Styela clava: one gene and its partner. The protein of the gene in region 1 purifies or fractionates together with the protein of each later gene. This does not show direct contact. Links are inferred from orthologs where the notes say so. Each region holds a gene or a part of one and is shown in the gene's direction. Other genes may lie near its edges.

Region 1 (3,934 bases):
ATGATTTGCCGGGATCGAATTCACTATGATTATTTTTTCCGTGATTAGTCATGCGTGGGAATAGCTGACTGATAATTCAGAAATTTTGCGACAGCAGTTGTTAGTTGTTTTGTTGTTGTTGGGGCGGTGGGGTCTGCCAGTCGTTGAGCTGGTGAAGATGATCCTTTTGGTGCGTCCGTGACGTTTTGATGCGAGGGTATGGTTATTGGAGATAGCCCGGATTTTTAGTACGATGTAAGAATGACTATACTGGATTGATTTTAAAAATTCAGTGATGGCATAGATACCCGCACAATTTTCTCACTTTCAGACTTTCCGTACTGACTCAGGCGTAATTTCTGGAAAAGTAAATGTTTTGTAAAAAGGATTGTGTTTGTTCATTTCATTTTGCGCCATAAAAGTCTGAAAGTACCACACACACCGGTTAGTCTGTTAGTATTTGAGCATATCCTTAGGTCTTGAGATTTTACGGTACATGTTTTACAATCTTTTTTTTTTTTATTTGAGTTGCTTGAAAAAGGTTCAGAACCACTGGTCGGGTCTCGTGTAGTTTCTTACCTAACATACTTTCAGTGGGCGTAGCATCACAATTTTTCGACATGTCAATCCTAACCCCCACCAGACTATGCCATCCAAAAATTACATCACTACAACATCACAATCACGTCATAGAGCTTGTTAAATATACGTACTATCGCCCGAAATGGCATCGGCGCCGACGATAAAGAACTTACTAACGTCAGCGATCTCTCTTATATTGGAATCGTCGCGATGTAAAAACGAGAGAAATAGCCGCTCGATTTCGGGTGCGCAGACGTGCGCGTCTTGGATGACAGTTCGTATAGTTTGAAGGTCTCTATTACGTCACTGTGACGTCCTATGGACGTAATATTTGGATGGCGTAATCAGGTGGGGGTTAGGATTGACACATGAAAAAATTGTTGTACTACGCCCGCTAGAAGTATGTTAGGTAGGAAACTACATGACACCCCACTGGTCTATGTCTTAATAAAAATAAAATAATAGAAATAACGAATAGTTCCTATTTAATTTAATACTGAACTAGGTATTTCAAAATAACCACACTGTTAGGAATTAGGATATTATTTTAAAGTATTTCTGTATTTGGTTGGCTGACTGTCGGACTGTATATGGTATTGTGATATTCCAGTATTTAAAAGATACCCCTGATTTGCAGAATTTGAGCATTTTATATTGATGAAATTTGTTTAAAAACATTCAAATTCTTTGATTTTCATAAAACTTTAGATTTATAATATTATGGCTCTTTATTTTGACCGGGCATTAAACACACCTTCTGGAAATGTAACTGTTCATTCGGCTTGGCAGAAAGTATCAGGTCATTTTGCAGTATGTTCTGCATCTCCTGGGGCCGGTGCTGGCTTCGTGGATATATTCAATGCAGAGGTGAGAGTTTTTGATGCCTATCTTTGAGACAATATATATCAATGTATAGCATAATTTTAATCTTTTCAAATTTTCACATTTTTTTTACCCAGGTTCATAATCCAAAATGGAATTGATATGTGCATTTCCAATCTTGATATTCTTGTATATTTTGATAACGAGGGATGCGATCAACTTCGTCCCTCAGGTTAAAAAAAATTTGGCTCAGACATAAAATATTCTAACTCTCAACTCTTTTTTAGAAAAAATAGAAAATCCAATTCTGATATCAAAAACTCTGGTTATGCAAGCTGTTAATAGACTGATAAGAAAAGGAAACTGGCTCCAATTTTGGTGAAACATACTAAAGCCAGTCTCCAGGCTCTGAATCCATATCTCTGACGGTAACTTTGACTGAGTCTGGACTTCATTATATATTAACTGAATCCATCTCCTTTTAACCATATATTCCACAATATATTGAGATATATTGTTTCAAAATCCACCCTACCCAAATATAAAAAGTTTTTATTTCAATATTTTGTTCAAATTATAGGGAGAAAAGAAAACATCAAAAGAGCACGCAATTCAAAGATCGTGTCAACCAACTATATGTTCCTGGCATCCAATTAAAAATATACTTGCAGTTGGTTGGGAAAATGGTAATATTATTCATATTTTTATATCCTTTCTTAAAATAACTTAATATATTTGTATAAAACAGTGAAGAAAAAGTGCTGGCAGTCGAAGTCATTTTTAAATCATCATATCGATGGAGATAAAACTGTTAAATATTCAAAAATGTAGATGCTGAGAAAGTATTTTTGACCAAATTTTTGATGATAAAAACATTGATTTTTGCAATCATCAGGTGAACTTGTGATTTATAATGGACACAATGATGAGACGCATGAAGTACCTACACTGCATACTCAAGCTATCACTTCAATATGCTGGTCAACTAATGGTTCAAGACTGGCATCTGGTGACAAGGTAGCTTGACAATATATAAAGAGTTGTGTATATTACTGAATGTAATAGTTGATTTTTTCTTCAAAAACAACAAGTTGTTTTTATTTCTTATAATATACCAATAATAATTTGTTTTCTTATAGTACGACACATATAAGAAAATATTACTAAACTTAAAATATATGTGTTCAAAAATTCATATATTTTCTTATTAAGTTACTTGAAAACATGAGAGGTATAATGTTCAACATTGTGGAAATTTGGGAAATTGCTTTATTACTTCCTTTATTGGCTTGTTGGTTGAAAGCAGTAATAAGAAATTGGTCAATTGATTTCCCTCTTCAGTCCATCTTTCAATTTGATCATTTAATGTAGACTTTTCACAGCATCTATTTTGTATTGTATAATTCAGAATCTTTGGAATTACATTAGTCATATTCTTAGGCAAAACTGTTAAATTGAGTTGCATTTTAGTGACAAGATTATATGTATGTAATGTGCCAATATGTATATCCCTATCACATATTGAATTTTATCGTATTATCGATTTAAGTTCAAAGTCTGTTGATAGTAATGATTGAAAATTGAAAAACTCTCCTACAGGCGAAATTCCAGTCAAAACGGTGCTAGCAAATGATGGGACAATGTTGCTTGCATACTTTCTTCATTGTCATCGATCTTTTATAATATTGTACTTGCAAAAAAAAGTTAGTACCGTAGGTATGTGTATATTCAATTTTAGGTTGGTGTAGCAGCTGTGTGGCGAGCTGATGATCGTGGAAGAATTCAACACAATCCTGTTTGTAGGTTTGAAATTGGAGCTGAAGTCACTCAATGTATAACACCAACATCATCTAGCAATGAAAACATCATGAGGTGGACAGTGGGATTGAATTTTGTTATTTTACAGTTTGCCTAAATACTGCAGTAGTTTCATTTCTAATTTTAAAGATATTTGGATTAATTCAATGCTTTTTTAAACCATGAGTAGTAATTTTCACGCTATAGTAGCACCAAGTGAAGTAAAATGATATAATGTTATCTTGTGGGACAATAGTATACTAAATTTTTTAGTTGGAAAGTGGTAGAAATTGTCCGGTGTTCGATCGGAGATATTGGTGTGGTATAAAAAGGATACTCGATTTGAACCTACCGGTACTTAGTTAAACGAGTATTCAACCCAAGTCTTCCACATCACCCAATATGAAAGACATGCCGAACTGGGAAGTTCTGCCCATTTTACACCTCTTGTAACTTATAGGTCCAAGTGGCTACTGATATAGTACTTTGTTTTGAGTAAAATTGTGAATTATTTCATCTGTTATTTTTGTATTCTTATAAAATACTACTGGAATACTGACAAAAGTCATGAGGTATGGTAGCTAAATGCTCCCCTATATTCATATACTTCATTGAATGAGATATCAATCATACAAACTATTGTATTATCTATTTTAATAGCAAAATTGCAAGTCTTGCTCGTGCGGCTGTAAGTGGTGATGAGAAAGCACTCGACCTTTTTGCAACTTTGGATACGAAGAAAGGTTCAAAACTA
Region 2 (3,934 bases), on another chromosome or scaffold:
TGTTTGTTTCGGAAGCATGGACTTGGTGGTGGAGGAAGCCGTAACCGACCAGCGGTTACGTGAACCACCCAACGACGGCAAGGAGTCCAGCAATCCTCTCGTACATAACCATCCCTGCATGGGGTTCGAACTGCGAACCCACGCAGAGTAGTTAGAGGTGCGGTGGCGAGCGTATTCCTAACGTTGAGCCACACCGCCGCGCCAAATAATCGCACTGAAAAGTTTGATAGTGATAGGATTTTGAGACATTTCTCATCGTTATTAATAATAAAGTAAAACATAACAATAATGGTTCTTAATAAAAATAATTGATGTGGCTATACCATCCGAAAGAAACAACTCTAAAAAATATTTGAAAAACTCTCAAAATACAAAGATCTAGAGATCGAGATACAAAAGATGTGGGGACTCAAAACTTCAACAATACCGGTAGTGGTGGGGGCGGTTGGACTTATCGGAAGAGAATTTGAAAAATATGTCTAATATATTTCAGGAAAAATTAATGCAGAACAGCTCCAAAAAAACGTTCTTCTTGGAACAGCTCACATCTTACGTAAAGTACTTTCTATCAATTGATGACCTCAGGAACTTGAAAAGTTCCCGGTCGCCAGAAGGTTAAAATATTAACATAAAAAAGAAACTAAGAAATAATTATTTTCCGCAACCACCTGCTGTTATAAGTGCATACAACATGTCACGATTTGTAGGGTCTCCTGAAATGAGGGAACCTGTTGTTAGTGAGTTCTAGACAAAAGCGAACCCGTTCTAAAAATTTTGCCCACTACTTATAAGCTTCATGTTTTGTATTTCTGAACAGACTTTATACCTTAAAATTTTAAATATTTAAAATATAAAAATGGATTTTGATTTCGGCATCGGCAAAAAGAGTCAAGCAAAAACTGGGCGTAGAGCGAAGTCGACTAAATCTAATGCATCACTGAACACAAACGAAAAAGAAAGTGTAGTTCCGAAAGAAATCGCTCCAAAATCTCAACTCAAAGAAATTGGGGCTGATTCCCCTCCCCGGCCGTCAAGACGAATGGCGGGCTGGGGGGATGCCGATAATAAACGTGACCGTAATAAGGGGGTGGAGGATTCTAGATTGTTAGTAACAGGGGATTCCCCTAGAACACGAATTCACTCCTCAGACGAAGAAGGCGATGATCTCCAAGTAATACCTGATTTGGACGATGTTCAGGTAACCCAGTTTTTAATGGTGTGGTTTTAATATTAGGGAAGTGATTTTCAACTTTCATGGAACCCCTTGATAAGCGATTGGGGCCCATGACATCTTGATATGCTATTGGGGCTTATCACGGTGCCCCTGTTAACAATTACGATATTGTATTTTTTGTATAAATCCCCCACCAATAATACGAAAATGTGAGATTTGAGAAAAACACCTTATCCATGTTTTCAAATAACAAATTAGTAATTATCGAGTTGGTGTTAGGAATAATTCAAATTTTCTGCACAATCTGCACTCCTAGCCCCGACTGGATAATTAGTAAGTTTTTATTTGAGCATTGGCCGGTTGTTTGTTACTCATAGATCTTGAGATCGGTTAGTATGTTGATAGGTATTTGTGTGTTTGTCTGTTAGACACTTTGTATGTTACGCGATATCTCTCGAAAGCAGAGTTGAATCTCCTCCATATTTTGCATGTGCATTCGTCATATCTCGGACTAGAAGCCTATTGATTTTGGATGAATTCTGCCGTGTAATTAGCGAGTTATTAATTAATTAGTGGGACACGTGGTGTCACTATAGAGTCATGAATTGAAACTGCAGTTTCGATCGATAAGTCTTCGGTCTCCGACCGATATTCTCGTTTTGACTTTGTACAAAATATCCTTATTACTTAAAAACACTTATAAATGTATGAAAGTTTAAATATTTAAAAACGTGGGGTTATCACAAATGTTGAAACGTCAGGGGTTCAATGATGACCCCTTCGCTGCCCCATTTCTCTCATTCTTTTAATTCATTGCATGATGTTGCTCAATGCAATATCACCGACATAGCAAATTTTTGAAATGAAACAACCCCAGCGAATTTTTGAAATGAAACAACCCCCCAGACAATGAATGAAAAATGAAATCATGTCTACTACTGAATACAGACACACATTTTCAGGGCATAATAATATCTATGACATCATAAACTTTCACCTCTCTCTAGATGAAATCCTGGGTATGCCACTGAAAGCAGCCACCAACTTTTTTATGACATGGCATATTATTATGACATCACAATATTTCTGATTTTTACCCCCCATTCATCCACCTCAAAAAAACTTTGGGTTTAGCCAGCCACTAACATTTTCATAATTTCCACAGAATGAAGATATCGCACAACAAATGGCTGCCCCACCTTCAGTTGCGATGAATCAAGTCGCTACGTATCGTGAACTTGACAGTGACCTTCAACGACATTCGACCTTCACACTTCTAGACAATGAAATCGATCTCAAACTTCTTGCGAAACACATGACAACTGGCATCGACGAACCAGACGAGACATGGGATTGGGATATATTATTCGCACAAATATCAGGAGCCTTAAGACAGAAAAATAATTCCTCAACAACAGCGACTAATGATAAACTGATTTAATGCTTAGTCATGGTTGGTGATTTGTTTGCTGAGTTACTTTGAAACGTGCTTAGTCATCTTCAGTAATAAAAATAGTCTCGAATGTATTTTTACTTAAAGAGCAGTGGTTTTCAACCCATATCTCTCTCACCCACCCCTTCACCCCCAAATATTTTTTTTGATTTTCTTTTTGTTAAATGCCTATAATGTAACACTTCTTTTTTAATGAACGGGTTAAAAATTACGGGTTCCTGATTTCTTGACCTTCATGTGTGGAAACTCTGATTCCGAAGCATATAAAACACTTTATAATGATACGTCAACTATTTTTTAAGGAATCCCACTCTCAGTTATATTTACGGAATAGAATTGTATCAGTTCCCCACGAGCCTTGGCCTATGACGATGGGGTTTCAGAAATTTCATATTTTTTCGCTTTGGGATTTTTTAATTCGTTGTGTAAATGGAAACACTGAATTTTTGTTGAGCCCAGATTAGAACTAAGATCTGAAGCCCGGGTCGGACCTGTCAATCATTACGTTTGGGTCGGGCTTCTCTACCGCTGACTTTTTTTTAAGTGAGGCGTTTTGGCCACGAGAGACAATGGTCTGTAAAAAACCTCATCAACACGACACATACTGTTCTAAATGAACTCTCGCAATGACAATTCAAAGAACTCCTAAATATGAAATTTTTGGCTCGGGCCTGCAAATTTAGTCACCGTAATTAGTCGGGGTCGGGTCAGGTTCAATACCCACGGGCCTGGGTCAGGTCAGGCTGGAATTTTGGGACCCAATCTTACCTCTAGTCCAGCTAGATGTCTGAAATTAGTTATATTGCCCGCCAAAAAAATGTTGCACCCCCGGTCTATATAAACTGGTGAAAGAACGAGAAGCCATGGAAAAGGATGACTCATCAACTTTCCTCTCCTACTGTAGTAAAATGAAAATCCTATCCTAACCTCCAGTCTAAACAGAGTCTGAATTTTTATAGCTTACTAAAAAAGTGTTTCATATTCAATGGATTTCAAACAGCGTGTTGTCACGGCAACCTTGGGTTACGTATAAGCGCAGTCCAGGGGTTTCATAATGTCTTTCTTATTGAAATGCGAGAGTCTATATCAGTGGTTCGCGACCTTTTATGGCTTGTGCCCCCTTTTTGGAAGCTTTTAGAACTTATGGCTCCTGCTTATTATCCCAGTGGTATTTATAGTGTTATTATGGTTGGTAGATTCCAAATCCCATTGTGTTCAAGCAATTCAAACACAAAAAAGCGAAAAAAAAAACTGTGAAATAAATTAACCTTTTCAAGCAATGAAACTGGGAGTTTTCTTGTAAAGTG

Evidence for each region.
Region 2: the proteins of intraflagellar transport protein 140 homolog (region 1) and intraflagellar transport protein 43 homolog purify together in Homo sapiens (affinity purification with mass spectrometry; 3 studies listed by BioGRID and IntAct, counting the BioPlex papers as one, with this or other methods). This does not show direct contact. The link is inferred for Styela clava from reciprocal best matches to the Homo sapiens genes IFT140 and IFT43.

What each region holds. Positions count from the first base shown.
Region 1 is NC_135262.1:5,589,725-5,593,658, forward strand, and holds the start of intraflagellar transport protein 140 homolog, read left to right. Parts: upstream 1-1,270; 5' UTR 1,271-1,281; coding exon 1,282-1,428; intron 1,429-1,963; coding exon 1,964-2,069; intron 2,070-2,278; coding exon 2,279-2,400; intron 2,401-3,121; coding exon 3,122-3,255; intron 3,256-3,840; coding exon 3,841-3,934. UniProt on the Homo sapiens protein: Component of the IFT complex A (IFT-A), a complex required for retrograde ciliary transport and entry into cilia of G protein-coupled receptors (GPCRs).
Region 2 is NC_135254.1:1,980,981-1,984,914, forward strand, and holds intraflagellar transport protein 43 homolog, read left to right. Parts: upstream 1-821; 5' UTR 822-856; coding exon 857-1,198; intron 1,199-2,339; coding exon 2,340-2,615; 3' UTR 2,616-3,187; downstream 3,188-3,934. UniProt on the Homo sapiens protein: As a component of IFT complex A (IFT-A), a complex required for retrograde ciliary transport and entry into cilia of G protein-coupled receptors (GPCRs), it is involved in ciliogenesis.